Yarrowia lipolytica: one gene and its partner. The protein of the gene in region 2 interacts with the protein of the main gene of each other region in a pairwise test. Links are inferred from orthologs where the notes say so. Each region holds a gene or a part of one and is shown on either strand. Other genes may lie near its edges. The genes, in order: YALI1_A12302g and YALI1_D27867g.

What was found.
Region 1: the proteins of YALI1_D27867g (region 2) and YALI1_A12302g interact in a two-hybrid assay, tested with the Schizosaccharomyces pombe proteins (2 studies listed by BioGRID). The link is inferred for Yarrowia lipolytica from reciprocal best matches to the Schizosaccharomyces pombe genes ptc1 and rrs1.

What each region holds. Positions count from the first base shown.
Region 1 is NC_090770.1:1,225,418-1,235,112, reverse strand, and holds YALI1_A12302g (uncharacterized protein), read right to left. Parts: upstream 4,844-9,695; coding exon 4,223-4,843; downstream 1-4,222. Other genes in the region: YALI1_A12356g (uncharacterized protein), read left to right, coding at 1-1,146; YALI1_A12294g (uncharacterized protein), read left to right, coding at 5,551-5,612, 5,661-6,174; YALI1_A12284g (uncharacterized protein), read left to right, coding at 6,660-7,157.
Region 2 is NC_090773.1:2,778,166-2,788,275, forward strand, and holds YALI1_D27867g (uncharacterized protein), read right to left. Parts: upstream 8,533-10,110; coding exon 7,510-8,532; downstream 1-7,509. Other genes in the region: YALI1_D27808g (uncharacterized protein), read right to left, coding at 531-2,591; YALI1_D27826g (uncharacterized protein), read right to left, coding at 4,073-4,435, 5,006-5,131; YALI1_D27844g (uncharacterized protein), read left to right, coding at 6,188-6,778. UniProt on the Schizosaccharomyces pombe protein: Serine and threonine phosphatase. Has a specialized role in the heat shock response. May be responsible for the dephosphorylation of hsp90.

The DNA of each region.
Region 1 (9,695 bases), on a different chromosome or scaffold from region 2:
CCCAACTACTACTACACGGGCCTGTCCTTGGTCAAGCTGAGCAGCCTCGACAGCTCCTACAGACGCCAGTACGGCTACGGCTGCAAAACCGTGGAGGAAAAGAAGATTGTCCACCAGATCTGCGCCACCCGAGACCTGGAGTACCTTCCTCTGGTGCTGTTTCGATGCATTCGCGAGATCAACAACAATCTCACCGAGATCGGGGTCTACAAGCTGAATGCCAGCGCCCAGAAAATCGAACAGCTCCGAAGATGCTTCACCGACAACGGGCCCCTATGTGACTTGGGCGACTACGATGTTCACACTCTAACCTCGTTTCTCAAGAACTTTCTACGACAACTGCCTGACGACCTCTTCCCCAACCCCTACCAGGAGACACAGCCCAAGGTGCTGGTATCTGTGGTCAAGACTGCGCTCGGAAAGCTGCCCAAACAGTCCATTGTTGTACTGAGGACTCTGTGTACACACATCCAGGACGTGTCCAACCACCACGAGACCAACAAAATGACGCTGTCGACGCTAGCCCGCATTTTGGCCCCCTCTCTTAGAATTAGATCGTCTGTGCTTGAAACTCTGGTCAAACATACCCCTGAACTTTGGTATGGCATGGAGGGTAACGGCGTCTACACATACGAGGCTATCGAGGTCCGCCGTCAAGAGGCCGTGTCTCCTACCTCATCCAGCTATCCCGCTGGCCTCTTTCCTTCTCGAATGTACTCTCACGACAACATTTCTGACGAGTCTCTTGAAAACCAGATCAATGGTATCATGTACTGCGGAGGAGGCATTGGAGATGTGGACAGTGACGTGGAAGATGATTCTGCCACTTCTGCGTCTCCGCCCAGATCTTCGTTTGAGTTCTCGGAGAACACTGACATGGAGCATACTGATGCGGAGGACCATTCGGATCACTCGCGTCGGCGAAAATGCACTTCTGTGGTCTCCACCAGCACCACCGAGAGCCAGATCGAGCCCAAGTCTCCTATTGCTGAGACCATCAACATTGACGGCGATGTTGCTATTGTTGGTCAGGCGGTGATGCTCAATGGAACCGTCACTACTGCTGTTCTTCGCGAGTACAAAAAGGCTCCTCTTCCTGCCATTCCTCAAGATAAGGGCAAGGAGCCCGAGGAGGCGACTGCATAGTCCTTAGACCTTTTTATTTATTTATTTATTGTCATTCGTTGTATAATAGGGGTATGTACTGTACATGATGTGAAACACGATTGTATTGGATATTATACGGGTCAACGGAGCCATATCAACGAGACCATGTGAAAGGGCGGATATCTGATATTGCGAGTTCAAGGCAAAACCCATGGAGTGTAGAAACAGTTCGACTTCTTAGTTATGCAATGATGCACTTGTCTGCACGACTCTGAATTATACAATTTCAGAACAACACCGAGTGAACTACTTGTACTTTGGAACTGGTACTCGTACAATATATTACTATGTAAGACTAGGGGCTGTCTACACCACCATCTTCTCTCGATGGTAAGTGTTTCGACGCTAGTCATAATCACGTAGTCTCCATCAGGACAGCCGCATTTTAAGACGTTTGACAACTAAAAATCATCCTAGGGGTTTTAACAGGGACACCTAGAAAACCTGATCGAAGACTTAATCACCCGAGCTATCAAACCACATCTTAACTTGCACTTGGGTAGCGATTTTTGGCTTTTGAGGTAGCGCTCACACCCTATCGTTTTGACAGATCAACTGAATGACTATCGGTTTGTGGCCGGAGCCGTTTTTTGGGGTTCATGGCCGGAGCCGTTTTTGGGGTTCGTTGGCCGGAGCCGTTTTTTGGGGGTTCGTGGCCGGAGCCGTTTCTTGGGGTTCGTGGCCGGAGCCGTTTCTGGGGTTGGCCGGAGCCGTTTTCTGGGGTTGGCCCGGAGCCGTTTCTGGGGTTGGCCGAGCCGTTTCTGGGGTTGGCCGGAGCCGGTCTGTTTGATTTCGGATGCGAATCAAAAAAAAAAAAACTGCTTTCGCAGGGTTCAATGGAGGGGTTGCCCCCAAGGGACACGATGACACGCGTGGTCAAAGGTGCCGCCAAAAAACTGGGACTGGACGCCTATTTATATTCGAAAGGCTGTGGTGAATAAAGTATTGGGTTCGGGTCTTTGTTTGGGTATTAAAATGGGGGCAGGACGATAACGTCGTGAAAACAGATCATTGAGACAGGAATATGACAGACAAACGACGCATATAGCTTACATAACCAGTTTCAGCGTTATTTGTAGCTCGAAATTTCCTTTTTCCGTCCATTTGCAGCGTCCAATCTCCTCAATTATACATCTACCATTGAAGCTCGAAAAGGCTATTATTGTATTTATTTACACATCCCAAACTAAAACATTCCAATATATGCCAAGACACGCAAATATCTGCGGGAATTGGCTTATGGGATCTGGAAGATGGAGAGATCCCCTCCGGTACTCAGGGTATAGCTATATGAGGGGATAACCTGAACTGTAGTGTGGGTGTGAACAGTAAAAGCCCTGGTAATGATAGTCAGTGATACTGCACTTGTAGGTTAATCGTTAGGGTGGCAATAAGAAGTAGCAAGCGTAAAAGGCGGCCGAGGCCACCCGAAGAAAAGAGCAGTAGCAGGGCGCGTAGTCACACCACAGGGGACGCAGAACCAAACCAATGACGAAGAAGAACCACAAGGAGACGTTTTCAAAGGCAATGCAAACGAAGAGGGCAATGGAAGGATTGAGATTAGAGAACTGGAGACTGGAGTGGCGTTTTCCCGATGAACGAACAAACACGCGAAGCTATGTGGACCAACATACAAACACGGAACTGAACGACAGGTTTTTTTATGATTTTTTTACTGGAAATAGTTACGTGGCCAAGTTGGAACCATGACACTAAAACGTGTTTAATTAGTAATATTCGTGTAAGCGTTACATTCATTTCAAAGGTTTATTCCTTTCAACAGCAAAGTTATAATTTAATATGAAGTATATTGCAGAAAAAAAATAAAAAAATATGCGGGGTTCGTCTGGGTATCAGCAATGATTTCCGCCATTGTTTTTCGTAATATTTTAGGACATGTTGGTTTTTGGTGGCGTTGGAAATACTCGGTTGGTTCTGTGCTCGAAATTTGACGGAAAACGGTCCTCTAGTCGCGATTCTAGCCTGTTTTGTGTGGTCATTAGGTGTTTTGTTGTCGCTTGTGCACTGCTTTACAGTACATCCACTATTGGGAGGTACAGTTAGATTATTGGGTCATTTTTAGGTCATTTTTATAGGTCATTTTTAGGGTCATTTTTAGGGTCATTATTGGGTCATTATTGGGTCGGGGGTCCTTTTTAGGCCATTGTTAGGCCATTATTGGGTCATTGTGGACTAAAAATTGGATCAAAAAATTGGTGGAGATTGGAAAAAATATATGATCAGGTTGGGAAATTGGAATAAATGGGAAAAGTGAGGAAATTCGGAGAAAAAACGAAGAAAAGGGCTGAAAATTGACAGGATAAAGATTTATTTCCAGAGTAAAACCTATTAATTAAAATGATCTCAACATTTAAAGAATTACGGTAGATCTGGATGTCTTTCTCTCTCACCCAGAACTCTGCCTACCATTCTCCATGGGACATGTCTTCGGAGATGAAAGATAACTATTCTATGGAAAAACAATCATGTGAATGGTCTTGTCAGAATCCACATTCACCCCTTCCACTGTGTGGAACTATCAGATGATAAGTATGTTGTACAGCACAAGCAGTTTTGCACAGAACGCCGACCAAGTGATTTGAACTACCGGATAACGGCGTTTGATCGGAGTGTCAATCCCAGACGTTACCAACAAACACGATTTCCAGTATCGGTACTGTTCGTACTGTTCGTGTTCGTGCTATTCTGTTACTTCTGGATTGAGAGATGCATGTTTGGATGGTCTCCAGCAGTTTACGAGACAGATGACTGCTACAATCGACTCGAGTGGGCTATACATCTATTGTGCAAAGTATCCGTACTGTACTCGCACTCGCAGTCAACGTTCAAGCATTAGCAACATCTCCAGTCGTCAGTCCCAGTCAACTACACTCGATAGAACTAACCTCAGTCACAGAGGTTGAACTACGACAACATACACCGCTAGATCAGTCATAACTACCGCATTGAACTTGTACAAGTACGTTACATCCACCAAACAACTGCTATCGCCTACCCGCTTAATGATCAAAATATAATTAGTCTATTTTTCCACCTATTTCGAAACGCCCCGCTTGAGGTTTCGCTCATGCTGCTTCTGGTTCTTCTTGACCAGCTTCTTTCGAGAAGCTCGGTCCAGAGCTCGAGGATCGAGCATAACGTCCTCCTGGTTCTTCTTGGATCCCTTACCATCGTCCACCTCAACACACCACTGCTGGTCGAGCTCCTTGTTCTTTCCGTTGAAACCCCACTTGGGCACCCACTTGCCGGTGGCCTCGTCGTACACAAGCTTGCCATCCCGGGCCTTGGACTTGATGCCCTTCTTGAGAGCAAACTCTTGCCACTTGGTCATGGCCTTGGGCTTGGGAATGGGCTTCTCTCGAGGGAGACGTGTGGACGGCTGTGGCAGCATGATCAGAGACATGGTGGAGTTCTGGTTGCCGCTGGACGAATTAGAGTCCGTGGTGTTCTTGATGGGTTGTGACAGAAGCTGGTTGATGAGCAGCTGGGCATTATCTCGAGACACGGCTTGGAGAGCCTCCTCTCGGGCCTGGCCGTCCACGTTCAGGTCGTTTAGATCCACCTCCACGGGATTTGTGTCGAATACTGCAAGGTTGCCCAGATCGTACGTCACGGGCACGGGCTTCTCCACGGTCACTGTCTTGATTTCGCTCATGGTTGTTGTTGTGTATCTTGTGCGTAATAGTCGAGATTTTCCTGCAGCCTGAAAAAAATATTTTGATAAGGTTGATGTGGGTTTTGGCTTTTTGATTAGTCAGCAGGACCACGGAGCTGGTGGCGTCCAGCTACTGTAGTAGATATGCAAATCAGCCTGTTGGGTCAGGTTTTTCAAGGTAATTCAACGTCGGGGGTTAGGGACGTGTTTTACATACGACATTACGGTAGAAATGGCGCTGGATATACAACGGTCTGACGATTTGGTCCAAAATTGGTATCAAAATAATCCTAACCTCCTGGCAAATACCAAAATGTTGTTAGATTTACAATATCTCTACTCCCCATTGATAACGGAGATATATTGAAAATAAGGTTGCCAGATGAGGTTCCCCGAACGGATCCAACATGTGCCAAAGTTGATACGATGATATGATGATCACTTCGAAAAACAGTCATCTGTGACTTCCAGAGTCGTTAGCAACACTCTCAACCGACGTACGAACCGGTGAGCTCAGTTGATTCGTTTTTCTGAATTTCACCTGACAAAAACTTTATTTCCCCCGAATATTTCACCTCGCATTTTTTTTAATTTTTTTAATTTTTAATTTTTTAATTTTTTTGTATAATAACAGAACGGCTCTACAAGGTTGCTGGTCACGTGACCTGACTCCGAGCTGGTGTCCATATATGCGCTTTTGAATGTGAATGCCAGAGATGTCAACTGATTGTTTCATTCTGAAGGATGTGTGCAATCTCATTTTGCTGTGGTGAAGATGAACAGTCTGGTCAGTACATAGTTGTACCGGTACATCCAGGTATCATACACTATACAAGCTGAGCCGTTGCCACGATACGTTTCCCGCAGTTAGATCGACATTCACGTCCTACAAGTTTGTACTTGTACAAGAACTTGGAGCAAATGTGCACTTGTACTTGTACTCGTACTATGTCGCAACTCGTTTCAAACCCCAAACACTGCAACATGTCTCATTGTACCCAGAGTCCCTGAACCGGCGCTGTTTCAGTCTCTTCAAAACCGTACATACAAAGCCGTATTGCACCGTACAGAGCCGGTATTGCACCGTACAGAGCCGGTATTGCACCGTACAGAGTCTGGTGCATGCTGTACGGTATCGTATGCGCAGGTCTCGTCTCCGACTTGCTGCCGCCAGTCAGCCATCGCCACAGAAAGAAGGCCACGGGAAGATACCGAACTATGGCATTGTTGGATTGAGTTTCATGACAATGTCCGGCGAGGCTGGGCGTACATTTGTCGTGTTTGGTGGAGGCCGGGACAATCTGCCAAGAGTGTTCCATGTTGGAGCATGAAGTTTCGCGGGTAAGGCCGGGTGGAATGGTCCGAGAAAACGGCTGAGATGGCTTACTCAGCCATTTGGAGCCTGAGCGGCGCGCGACAACAGCTAGCACGCTCTCAGTTGCTCTTTCTTATCTCTGAGATTACTGTAATTGAGTCTGATGATCATAGGACCGAGGCTAAACGAATGTCTCGAACCTAACCCTGAGACAAAAATGGGAGCTGAAAAAAACAGTCGATAGCGATAATCGTGGTTCTGAGCGTGTGAGAGAGGAAAGACCGAAAAATCCGACTCGTTTATTGGCCATTGGAGCCCAAACACAGGGTTGGGCGGAAAAATGGCCGTTTTCGGGGCCGTTTTGGATGACTAATCAAACTCCCGGGTATTTGTCAGTCATGCAGCAGACGCGGTTACAATTGGGTTGGCCCAGATCTCCCTGTATCATCATCACCACCCCCAAAACACACACTCACACACAGCACTTTGTACCAACTGAAAATGACCGACTGTACTATTAAGGGTGTTGGCGCTTCTGACGCCATTTACGACGGCTCCGACTTCAAGATCGCCATTGTGCACGCGCGATGGAACGAGCAGGTGATCAAGGCTCTGCTCGACGGAACCATCTCTTCTCTGTGCGGCTTCAAGGTCAAGCGAGAGAACATTTTCATCGAGTCTGTGCCCGGCTCGTACGAGCTGCCCTACATCACCCACCTGATGGCAGACTCGCACAAGTACGACGCTGTCATCTCCATCGGCGTGCTCATCAAGGGCTCCACCATGCACTTTGAGTACATTGCCGACGCCGTTTCCCAGGGCCTCATGCAATCCCAGATCGCCACCAAGACCCCCGTCATTTTCGGCGTGCTCACCTGTCTGACCGAGGAGCAGGCTCTTCAGCGAGCTGGTCTCACTCCTGATGGACACAACCACGGAGAGGACTGGGGAGCTGCTGCCGTTGAGATGGCTGCCAAGCGACATCTTTACCTGCAGTAGATGCCGGGACCTGCCAATTGATGTATCCATAATGATGTATGTGTATTTTTATCCGTGAACTGTAGGTGGTGGGTTGGTGCCGAGGTGCGGTATGGCGTTCGCGTTTCAGCACTCTTTTGGCACTCTTGGTGCTTTAGTTCAACCAAGTATCCAGTCTACCAACAAGCACCCAAGTTCTACTACCAAGTACCTACTGTACCGTACCCAATCTCCACCAACAAGTAACCAAGCTCTACCCCCAACTAAGTCTCTGCCACCAAGTACACAGTGCAAGTTCCGACTTGACCAGTTCGCCTTCTTCAAGCCCATTCTCCTTCGTCCATTATACTGATCCTGAGACATGTTCCTAGGACCGTATCCATATTTGGTCGGACATCTCTTCAGGATGAGTTATCTCTCCCTAATTGTAGAGTATAGGGTGTTGGAGATTCAGTCATGGACAAGTGTTCTAAATCCTTTCGTCTTCTTGTCAATCTCCGTTGAAGCAGGTCTAATGGTTCATCAACTTTTGACCTCTCACTGTTCTAGTGCGAGCATCTGTAGAGAGGGGGAAGCTCTAAGGTGCTGTTACTCTTCAACGAGAGTCTGCCGAGTACGACAAGAGTGTGTAGTAGTTGTACTGTAGTCGCAGAAAGACAAGATCAAGCAGGAGAGAAGGCAGACATGGCGCTTGATCGTATAGCTTTGGTCATTTTGCAGACAGTTAAAGCTGGAATTGCTGGCAGCTGTGATTTCGAAGAAATGTTGTGAAAAGAGTAACTTACCTAGAAGCAAGAACTTCACCCGCAGTTCTCACAATGTTTGTTGGATGCGAGGTCCAGGTTTGTGTCAATGATAATTATCTCCAGACGCTAAGCGAAGTCTTGGTCGACTTTCAGCTCGCACCGGACTTGTCCTTGTCCCTCGGATACGACAGTCCGAAAGTTGAGGGGATCAAGTTGTCTCTGGAAGGGTATTATTTGGTCTAGATGCTCTCTGAACAAAGTCTCTTGGTCCACACGTACTTGAAGGTGGACTTTGCCAAACGACACTGACCCAAGACCCCACGATCTCATTTGACATTTGACAGGAGCTTCAGACACCTTTGTATCCTTTGGTGTGCATCGATGACAGTGGAAGCAGGACTTGTAGGGTAAACTCGAGAGGTTCCTGGCTATTGGAACAGTTTGATCACAGGGGAAATCTCCATACAGTCATCCACTAGTCGAAGTTTCTCATCTTACGAGGTTGACGATATCATCGTGGAGACCTCGTAATCATGGCAGAAGAAGCGTATGAGGACCCCTATAACCGTCCCTCCAGTCAGTGAGCAGCTTTCCGTTTCACTCTCGGACCTTGTTTGATTCGGTGGGGGTGGTGCGTTCATCATCTCCAGTTACTCATGAGTGGGGGACAACCAAGTCTTTAGCAGCGGTCAGTGGGAACATGCCTCTGATATCTCGCTTTCGTGGGTGTCGGAGTCGACAGTCGGATCCATCTCGTATCCTTTCGTGTCCAGTCTCTAGTCGGCTCCAGTATCATTTCTGGTCCACACTCTGGTTCAGTCCAGTTTCTTAGCAACTCAACCGCTGCCCCCAGTCCTGGATCATCCAGCCATCACCAGTCTGGCACCCCGACGATGGAGTCGAAAGTGCCAGAGGGCGAACTCTTGCCAACGATCTAGCGGACGATCCGGAGGAGAAAAAGGTCGAACAATGACAAAAGCGTCAATCCCGAGACACGACAAGAAACGAATGCCACGCTCCAAATGTGCGTGGAAGTTGCAGCAGTCAGACATGACTCGAAACTGTCGCACGACTTCTTCACAACTGTACTCTTCACAGTAATGCCATATCGGCCCCAGGTCTGTTCGTTTCTTCCAACAACATGCCACGTTTAATGAACAGTCACGAACCGAGTTGTACCAAGTCGAACTAAGTCGAACCAAGTCGAGACCGACAACCAACTTGAGCCGAGTTGAGCCGAGAACCAAGCCAGCCCGGCACCAATCCACCCGGTGCTAAAAGGACATCGAATTCTGGACGAGTAACCAATCACGGGATCACGAGATCCGCAGAGGCATTGTTGGAGTGTCTGGAGGAAGGAACCGGCAAAAACAGAGTGAAGAAAAAGTGTCGTGTAAGATGTATCCTAGTATAAGTATGAGAGTAAGCCAAGTACTTATACTTGTAGATACTGAATGATCATGCTACAAGCAACCAAGTACGATACAGTATGTACGACCCAGTACAATACAGCACTTGTATCGTACAGACACTCATATCATACAGATACTCGCATTGTACTTGTATCTACGCCCCTATCGTACATTCCTATTGTACACTCATATGTCAAATCGAATCGCACTCCTACTCCCACTCACTCTTTACCGTACTACCACTCACCCGCATCTCAAATGTCGCAGAAATTTGCCACACAATAGGCAACCTCCAAACACTACCAAAACTACTCACTACAAAACTACCCACTACATGTTCTCATAATTCTTTCCTATATATATCCTAGCCATTCCTGTAGACCGTGTAATGCAATAAATAT
Region 2 (10,110 bases):
ATTGAGCGAGATGAATGGTGTGATGTGTTTCGGAGGTTCTGCACTATTTACTCTGCATGCAGATGGCGTGGGGTGAGAAAGAGGGATGAGGACCGACCAGCTTAGAGGAACTTTTTTTTCATCAGATTTTTGCACAATGTTTATAGGATTCTTTGCAATTGATTTCCGGAGTTTCGGTCCTCTGGAAGCACAATTGGTGTCGTAGGGCCATCTAGATATCCAAGCACCATGCAAGCCACCAGTGCTACTACTCGTAGTTATTCAGACATGTTGCTTCACTGATATACACCGTAGTGGTGTATATTTATTCTCTCTTGTAATATTACAAGCCAGAATACAATTCACAGTGTATTACTAGTAGTATTCTATTTGATTTGATTTGGGGCTATATGTTTTATGTTGATTATGCTGGTTTCTATGCGGATTTTCACAGTTGATTAATGTTTGTTGTTTTTTGTTGGGTTTTGTTAGAACGTCTGTCTCTTTCTGACCAGTCTTCGTCTTACACTTGACATCTACTTAGCTGGACACTAAACGTCAACAAAAGCAGATCTCGCTCGCAGGCCAGGCCCCCATTTGAAAATGAACCACGGCACAGCGCACATTGCGGTCGTGATGAAGCCCAGAATGAAACACAGCTTGGCAAAAGAGACCCGCTCGATGGCCGCCATGCCGATAAATGGCAAGACGCCGGCGAAAATGGACCGCAGAAACGTCAGAGCAGACACAGCTGAGGCCGAGTACTCCGAGTGGATGTCAACAACGTAGTTGAGGGTGGACTGGAAAATGGTGAAGAATCCGATACCGAGGAACAGAAGCAGCACGACCGAAATTGCCCAGGTCTTGTCAAAGAAGAAGTAACACAGAAAGCATCCAATAGGAGGGAACAGGGACCCCGGCAGCATGATCAGGAGCCGCTTTTCGGGCTCCTTATTGCTTCCTCCGTGCTTCTTGAGCATCCGGTTGAAGTACCAGATTGACCAGACGATACCTCCAGAGGCGCATATGAGGCCGGCAATGAAGTTGAGGTTGATCCAGGCCGCTCGGTCTCGGGTCCAGTTGTGTTCCTTGACGACTGCGTTGGGCACCAGCGAGATGGCCATGTACATGAGTCCGAACATCATGGCGGCGTACATCTGCAGCGGCAGCATGACCGGGGTGAGCATGATTTGGTAGGGTCTCAACAGGTTCTTGACTGAGAAACCACGGGCATGGCCTCCGAGGTCTCGTTCTGTCACCAGGTTTCTCAGTCCGCCGGCATCCAGACTGAAGTTCCGCACAATCTTTTGCAGAATCACAGGGGCGTAAGTCTCGGGCATGAAGATGAGGTTGGAGGTGCAAATGATGAGTTGGTAGATACCGGCCACGAGCGACAAGTGTCTGAAGTCGCCGGTCCACTTGATGACCTGAGAGCCGAGAATGGGACCCATGGCTGGGCCGCCAGCGACAATAATGGCGTACAGAAGCAACACGTACGGCCGTCGCTCGGGCTTGAACATATCCTTGAGAGCTCCTCCGGACGACAGGATGGGAGGCGAAGACAGAGCTCCAGAGAGGAATCGCAGTACCATAAAGGTGGGGAAGGAGGTGACGGAGACGGTCAGAAAGGTGAAGATGAGCGAGACGAAGAAGGGCCAGAAGACGCCAATCTTCCGGCCAAATGACTCGGTCATGGGCGCGCAGAACATGGGCCCAACAGCAATACCCATCATGTAGACGGTGGTACTGAGCATGGCGACATCTTTACCGACTCCAAACATCTCTTCGATCTTTGCAACGGCTGGTCCGTACATGGAGCTGCACATTTGCGGGCCAATAGCAGATAGGGCCTGGGAAGCAACAACCAGGTACTTTTTGTAGTTGGGCCAGTTGAATGGGTACCTGGGGTCGTTCTCTGTGTCCCACTGGACAATATATGTGACACAGTTAGACCGTCGACATCGTTCTCGAAAGTGTTCTTGAGAGCTCTGGGAAGATGTTATGGAAGTCGAGAGAATGATTCCCGAGTCTCCCGCGTAGATCTGGTCCGTCTGGGTAGCGCGTGTGGTCTTTCCATCGACTGTGGAGGCGTCATCGGAGGACCTGGAGGATGAGATCCGGGTTGTTGATGAGTTGAGCGACGACTCAGACGAGTAAGTCGATGAGTGGGGCACGGCTCTCAGTCTGGCTACCTCTGGAGGCGTTGGACTTGGAGTGTCCATCCTATGACCCCTCGTACTTGTCAGAGACGCCAGTGGCAGAGTTGTCGGCGGATCCTTCTTGAGGCGAAACAGGTTCACAAACGAGTTGAAGGTCGACTGGGTCTGATAGCCATTAGGAGACTCGTCTGGGAGAGCATATCGAGAGGTGGAGCTTTTGGGTGCCTCTTCTTCAAAGTCGTTGTTAGGACTTTGGTTAGAAGAGCTGCTCATAAACAACTCACTTGGAGAGATCGGGACAGACTGGGGCTCGCCAAAGAGGTCGTCGGCAGTAATGGGATCGTCAGAACCGCAAGCGGTGGAGACATAGACGGGCTTGGAGGAAGAGGCCTCGGAAAAAGAGGCTTCGGAAATGGAGGACAGGCCCTGGCATTCGGAAGAGACGGAAGACATGGTAGACTCGAAAGGGAAATTTTGGGAATCCTCCACTCGGAAAACACTCGGGTTTATGTACCATCTTGACAGTTAGGACTCTCCCTCACCAGTACCGACCATAAATTTTGGACTACTCGACCAAACTGCAGTTTATGCTGTTCTGGGGATGTCAACTTGGAAGAGGTAAGTAGGGGGGGAAATTGTGGGGGACAATGTGGGCAGGAAGCGCCAAAAGTGACAATTCAAGGGCGGTTTTTTTGTCTACTGAACTGTTGGTCTTCTCTACTCACCGCTATGGTCTTTTGACGGTTACTCTACGTCTCCAACATCATCATTGGCGTCGGACAAACATTCTCTCCTGCTCACTAATCTATGTAAGGAATAGAGAGTATAGGCAAAAAGAAAGGATTTATGGAGATAGGGAATAAACACGAGTGGAGAGAAGTTTGTGAGCTGTGCAAAATTTTAGCCAATCCATATATCATCTAGAGACGAGACCCCTGAATGTGTTACGAGTGCGGAAACGACCCCAAAACAACACCAGAATTAGCAAAAGGACTAAAAAGGATCCATGTGCATTGTTAAGACGCTTCATATGATTCCTACTTGGTCCTTTTGCTCCATATTAGAGCTTCCACTCTCCCACCCTTGCACTTGTAGACCCATACATCATTGTTTAGTATGGTGGAGAGTACAATGGAGGCTGGCATAGTGGCAAGCCATGTCCACCTTGGGGCTGTAGTCGGGTAACTATTGCGTCATTCTGTCGTCCATTAGTGCTATAATACCAAAGCACAAGTAGTGCACAATACCTGATTCAGCTCTCGTGAGTTTTCAGCTCATAGCGTTGTCAACTGGCAGTGTTGGGCGTTCCGCGGTCATAGAACCGATTAGAATGGGGGAAAAGAAGGGAAGCCAGAGTTATTGTTCTTGGTGCCATGTTATCGATTGCTTTTCCCCGTCAAAAATCACTGCTGTCAGATTCGGATCATATACACACGCCAAACAAGATGCATAAGTAGACGTCAAATGCAAGTACTTGTACTTGTACTAAAGGGAAACTAGTTGAGCAGTTTGTTTAGGTTCAAAAAAAGCAGATCACAACCGACCCATTACTTGTCGTGGTAAGATGAAAATTAATATACGAGATCATGACAGTCATACCACGGTATATATGAAACCATGGCTCTTTTCCACGACGTTTCCACGACTTTGTAACCCCTTCTCAACCACCTTACATTTCCCTTCCGACTGACCAAAAGTTAATCAAATTTACCTCCCAGTTGCCGACGATGAGCCGATAAAAACGGACATGTTGAGGAGTGAGATACAAATAGCCCTGAGAGAGCCGGTTACAGCGGCGTTTTCCAATTTATTAGAACACCCATGCTACCACTCTACAGCTCCCCATACAGTCTCAATCGAAAAACAGTCGTCAGGTGTCATTACACGTTACGGAAGTTGCCGCTTTTATGTCTACAGATTCATCATGTCATAACTTATTTGGCAAAGTGGGCAAGAGCCTCAAGAACCTCGAGCTCAATCTCGGCCTCAGCAGCAACAGCCTCGTCAGCAGACTGGGCGTTCTTCTGGGCCTCGGCGGTCAGAGACTTGATGGCCTCGGGGGAGAAGTCCTCAGCCTGGAAAGCCTCAATGGAGTTGACGGACAGCTCGGAGTCGGGCTGAACGGTAGCGAAACCACCGGAGATGAAGTAAGACTTGGTCTCACCGTTAGTCTCAATGACCTCGACAACACCAGGCTTGAGCTGCTGGATGGTGGGAACGTGGTTAGCCAGAATACCGAGCTCACCAGCGGTGGAAGGGATGTTGACCTGGGTCACCTCCTTCTGGTTGTAGATGGACTGAGTTAGTATGAGGTTCGTCCAGTTTTGTGACCTTGTGTGATCGGACATCGCGACTGGAACATACTGGCGCCTGGGGTCGACAGCAACAGAGCCAAAAGGGAATGCTGGGTATCACAACATTTGAGGAGCTTCAATTCGCGAGTGGTTCATTGTACATTGGGTGGTTGGTACGGTGTCGTGATGTGAGGTGATGTCTCCCGCGTTTCCTTGTGCTTCCGGCAGTGGCGTGGATCATGAGCACAAACAAGGTCAATTGACCAGTCGGCTGCCTGCGACCCAATTCCACCACCATGCAGAGTCCACGCGCCACGCCACGCCATGCCATGCCAAGTCACGTTCCTTCCCTCCCACCACCACCGCATCACACAGACTTGACCGGTCTGTATAACTCGGTACACCGAATAAACCACGCTACTATATGTCCTCTGTCCCAGTCAATTCGCATTGCAGCCTCAATTGTGTCGTCATTTTCTACCAATTGTCTCGGTTCCTCAGTGTCGCTGGACGTTCTCAGTCGCCTGTGTCATCCCGTCCTCCATGTCGTTAGCACATCACCACATTACTCACCTCGTGGGGAAGAGCGAGAGTCAGTCGAAGCTTGTCGACGGAAGCAGTCTCGGCGTAACCTCGTCGAGCAATTCGCACGGCGGGTCGGGCAGCACCCCGGATGGCGGTTCGAGCAACAGAAAACATTGTGTTGTTGTTAGTGCAAGGTGTCGTGTTGAAAGTGGGAGTATTTTCAACGTGGTGGGTTTTGAGAGAAAAGGTTGTGGCCAATCAGCGGCGGAATCGTGAGCAACCCTAGCCCTCTTCCCAAGTCCGAAACTCTAAACACAGGCGCAACGATCTGGTTCTAGGTGCTAGGTGCAATTGACTCTCAACTGTCCCAACCCAAAATCAACAGAGCATGTGGAGCGGAGCTGGCTAGAAGGGTCTGGTAAGGAGGACCTTTGGGGAGAAATGAGTGGATATTATCACACTAAACTATTCCCCTAGCCATGGGGAATATAATGGTACTATTTTCTTCTGAATCGGATCTCTCAATCACTGGATGTAGAGACATCTGATACATACTTGTTCTGGTCACTACTGGAAGTACAGTATGTACGTGCATACTTGTAACACACATGCTCATATGGGCATACTTGTTTGAGTATGTACAGTACAGTACGAGTACGACTTGTACCATGGTGCGAATTTCCAAGCTCAAGCTGACATTTCTCATACTTGTTCTCACATTGAAGATACGCCGTTGAGGTAAGATCGATCTGATCATGTACGCCTTCAAAGCCTATGAGTCTCATTCATGACAACATGAACGCTGGAATGTGAGCTTTGAGGAGGGTAACAACACACTTTGATGGGCTTGGATGGGCTTGAATGGGCTTGGAAGAGTACGAGTCTTCCAAGCAACACCTCAGGGGCTTCCAACCGTCATTGTTATTCGACGATTATATTCACCACAACCGAGATTCGAACAAACAAGCTCCCAACTCCCAGAGACAAGCAGACGCAGAAATTAGATTGTCGTTCATTAATGGAGCAGAGGGTTTATGATAAACAGTTACACCCAAGACTCACGATCGCTCCAAGAAGATATATTTGACCTGACGCAAACAGAACGGCCCAGCAGACACAAACTTGCTCCACTCCGACCCACACAACTTTCTACACTCCGACCCACACAACTTTTCACAGGTCTCTACCCTGGCACAAGTACAGTGAGACCCTCATAACTAACGACTCCTAATGGAAGAACAAATCCAGCAAACCACAAAACAGGTGCTCGTGGGGGCTGGCCACCTTCTGGCGTTTCTTAGTCAACAGGGCGTGCCCATGAAACCTCTCCCCAACCCTCCCACGCTGCTGCAGTCGCAAATGGACAAGTCTGTGGCCGGCTTCAACTCTGCATTGGACCACATGAGTGTCAACATTGAGTCAGCTCTGGAGTTTCTGGAGCTCGAAAAGCACCGGCTAGGGCTGGTTCAGAATGAAAAGGTCAAGACCGAGTCCGAGCCCGAGGTGACCGTGAAGACGGAGCCTGCGGAAACGGAAGACTCCAAGGAGTTCACCATCGATGGCATGGACGCATCACACGCCATTGACCTAGACGGCGCATTCGACGACTTTGGCAGCAACGACGTGGATATCAACGCCATGCTAGGCGATGGCAAGGACGGAAACAAGGACGGAATCATGATGGACGACGAGCTGTCCAACCTCCTGGCGGATGGAGAAAACGGAGGCGGAAACAACGCAGGCAACACTACGGGAATCGCAGACGACGATATGGAGGGGCTGTTTGGGGACGGCTTTGATTTCGTCTCGTATGATCAATAAGTCAGGTTCTGACGGTGATCCGATGTCGTCTATTGACGGTTTTATTTATTTATATACATTGTGAATTATAGAAGGCAAACGTACAGGCACTGTACTTGTTCGAGTATGTACAGTACAGTGCTTGTAACTTGGTACATAACTGTAGACTGAGAACGAAGCCACTGTCGATACGGAAAGACCCGACTATTCCATACACTGACAGCCACCTGCCACGGCATTCATCGAGACATGTCTTACACCTTGAGCATCCATCCATCCGTTCATGGTAGACGATCAGGGAGATGACTTGTTGGAGAAATTTAGTCACAATACAACTGTACTTATAATCCCGCTTCTGACTACAATTGCCAGAGATCATTACTTGTACTTGTTGCTTCAGTAATGGAGGATCTACTCCAATGACAGTCAAATAACTTAGTGTATTGGCTATACAGGTTCCGGTGATGAAGGGGAGCATTTTCGGTCCAACGAGGAGCATGAAAGGTGCGAAGAATACCATCAACAAGTGGGCAAGACTTGAAGAATGGAAACAGAAGCTTTTGTGTTGTATGATTGAAGCTGTACCTCAGACAAGGAAGTCAGATGAAGCTGACCTGATGGTTGGTCACAGTTAGACAAATACAGGCAGCTTTCAGAAAAACTGCTAGGATAGCCTCAAAAGAACACAGCTCGGAGGAGGCTGTCCGACATGCGCTTCAAACACAGCTATTTCGTCACCCTGCCTTTGTCACTTATCGCAATTTCACCACCATCACAGTCAAATTATCTGTGCTAAAGTTCTCCAGAGCAAACTCCACCAGTATTCGGCTTCCCTCAACAGGATCTTCTAGTCCACTCACCAGATCACAAGCCTTCTGATCATCACAAACGTCCCACAGTCCGTCACAAGCCACAATCAGAAACTCGTCATCAGCAATGATTTCCGTCTCGGTCGTGTATGGGTTACCAATAATAAACTGCTTCATATACGTGTCTCCCAGAGCACGGGTAACAGCAAGCATTCCGTTGACCCGATTGCTGATCATCATTCCGCCGTTGTTGGTGACTCGTTTAGACTCATGGAGATCGGTGCCCTTGTGATCGTAGCTCAGCCTAAGGGCCTTGCCTGCTCGACACAAAATCAACCGAGTGTCTCCCACGTTGGCAGTGTACAGCTTGCGCTTGCACTCGGACAATGGAGCACGGGGAAACACGGGAGTGTAGTCCTTGGGTGAGTGATCAGAAGACACCGTCACGGGCTTTCCTCGAGAATCCTCCCATCTCAACAGAGCCACTGCTGCTGTGCATCCGGAATTCAGGTTCTTCTGCTCAATTGACCGGTCAATGGCCATGAAGGCAAGATTAAGCAGCTCTGGCACAGTCTTCGAGCTCTTGTCATTGTCCTGGTGCTCCAGCCCCTCCTCCTGCACGACTTCAGGGTCTTCGGTTGCAGAGTCTTCGCTTTTGAATCCCTCAGACTCCATAATCAGACTTTCCACCTCACTGACAACTGCCGTTGCGCAGTACTCAGCCGCTTGTTTGCCCGCATGTCCGTCAAATACTGCAAACAGCCCCGAATCGGGCGTGCCGCAAATGTTGTGTGCAGCCACATGATAATCCTCCATGGTCCGTCTACACCGCGAGTTTTTGTCCTCCGTAACGCCCACAGCAAACGATGACAGTGGCGAGTCGGTCACAGGCAGCCCGTTGTTGTTGGCCAGCATCGGATGGCCTTTGGCTTCATCTTTACTGTTTCGTCGAAATAGCTTGAGCATCGTTAGTATCGTGCGTTATTGTGTGTGTGTGTGTGTGTGTGTGTCTGCTGTTCCCGTCTGGTTTGCGTGGAGTTTCACGCGGCTTCTGAAATTGATCTGTCACGTGCTTTCGTTCGGTCGTGGGTCACGTGATCGCCTGGTTGCTGTTGTCGTAGATACCACTGCTTTTTCGACGTTCCGTCCACGTCTCTCTATCTCGTGTATGTGGAGACACACCACTCACCCCACAGTGCAAGGAAGTGGCAAAGGCTTATTTGTGGTAGGGTTAGGGTTTTTCGGACATTGGCGACCGAATGGGAATTGTTCTTCTCGAGTGCTTGTAGGTGAGTGAGACCGGGTCGACGGTGACAAAAGTGAGCATCCCCATTTTGTGTGTATTTCCCTTGAGTGAGGCGGCAGATGTGGCTTACTAAGTGGTGGTTTTTGGGTTCAACAACGGAGTTAAGAAATTTCACTTGAAGATTAAGTAGAGTCTAGTGAGGGAGGTGGTAAAGGAAGGTGTATAGTGCAAGTGGATTTGGAGGCTATAAAAGAACAGGGAAACAATTGTTAGGGTTTATTTGCCGTGGTGAACAAGTTGGGCTTCTTTGAATCGTGATTGTAGCACTAGTGCGATTTGTAGTCTGGCTTCAGTTTATGTGGAGCCTTCCGGAGTTAACTAAAGCCAACTGTGAAACAGGGGTTGATCTGAAACACAACAATTGACTGTAAGGGAAGTTGAGACGGAGGGGTGGGGAACCAATCAGATGATTATTTGTAAGTGGGATTGAATGATACATTATCTTGCGTAGGATTCTAGAAGAAATCTCTGGACTGAGCTTGTGTCTGGTTCTTATATTTAGCAGCTGATATCTGCACACGTCGCTGCTATCTACAAACGTGTGGAATCCAATTCGTCTCACAGAGATGCTAGGAAGATGAGAAGTTGATAGTTCAGTTCATCAGAGCTAGGACAACAGAGTAATATTAATTTTGACATTGTTTCATCACTTTACCCTGTTTATCACTACATGTTTTATAACTACAGTATGTACTGTACCATGTTCATACCATGTTTGATAACTACCATGTTCATCACTTTACCATAGTTGAAAGTGGAATCACGGTAAGGGTTCCATAATCCACAAGAGTAGTATAAAACAGAGTATACAACAGATAGAATACCGTTTAGTCTGTTATATGGCCCATCGTTGGATTCATATTGGTGTTATATATCCGTTTAGCACTATGACGCTTCATCTCAGTCTCACAACCCTCAACTGTACTGGTTACAAACCCAAGTAAAATGTAACTAAATTTAGGTGGTGGTGACTGCAGAAAACTTCATTGGAGAAGTCTGGAAAAGACACAGACCAAACTAGACTTGGGTATTACTTCAACATTACAACAATAGCTATCAATTGTCACACAAATATTCTCATTATAACCCGCTCAAATCTCTCCAAATATCGGTTCAAATAAGGTTTCGAGACCAACCTTATCTCTCACCAGATTTAAAATCATCATCTACTGGCTCAAACAGCTGCGCAAGAGAATAAACAAGTTGACAGACATTTTTTGTGCCTCGCTTAGTATTGG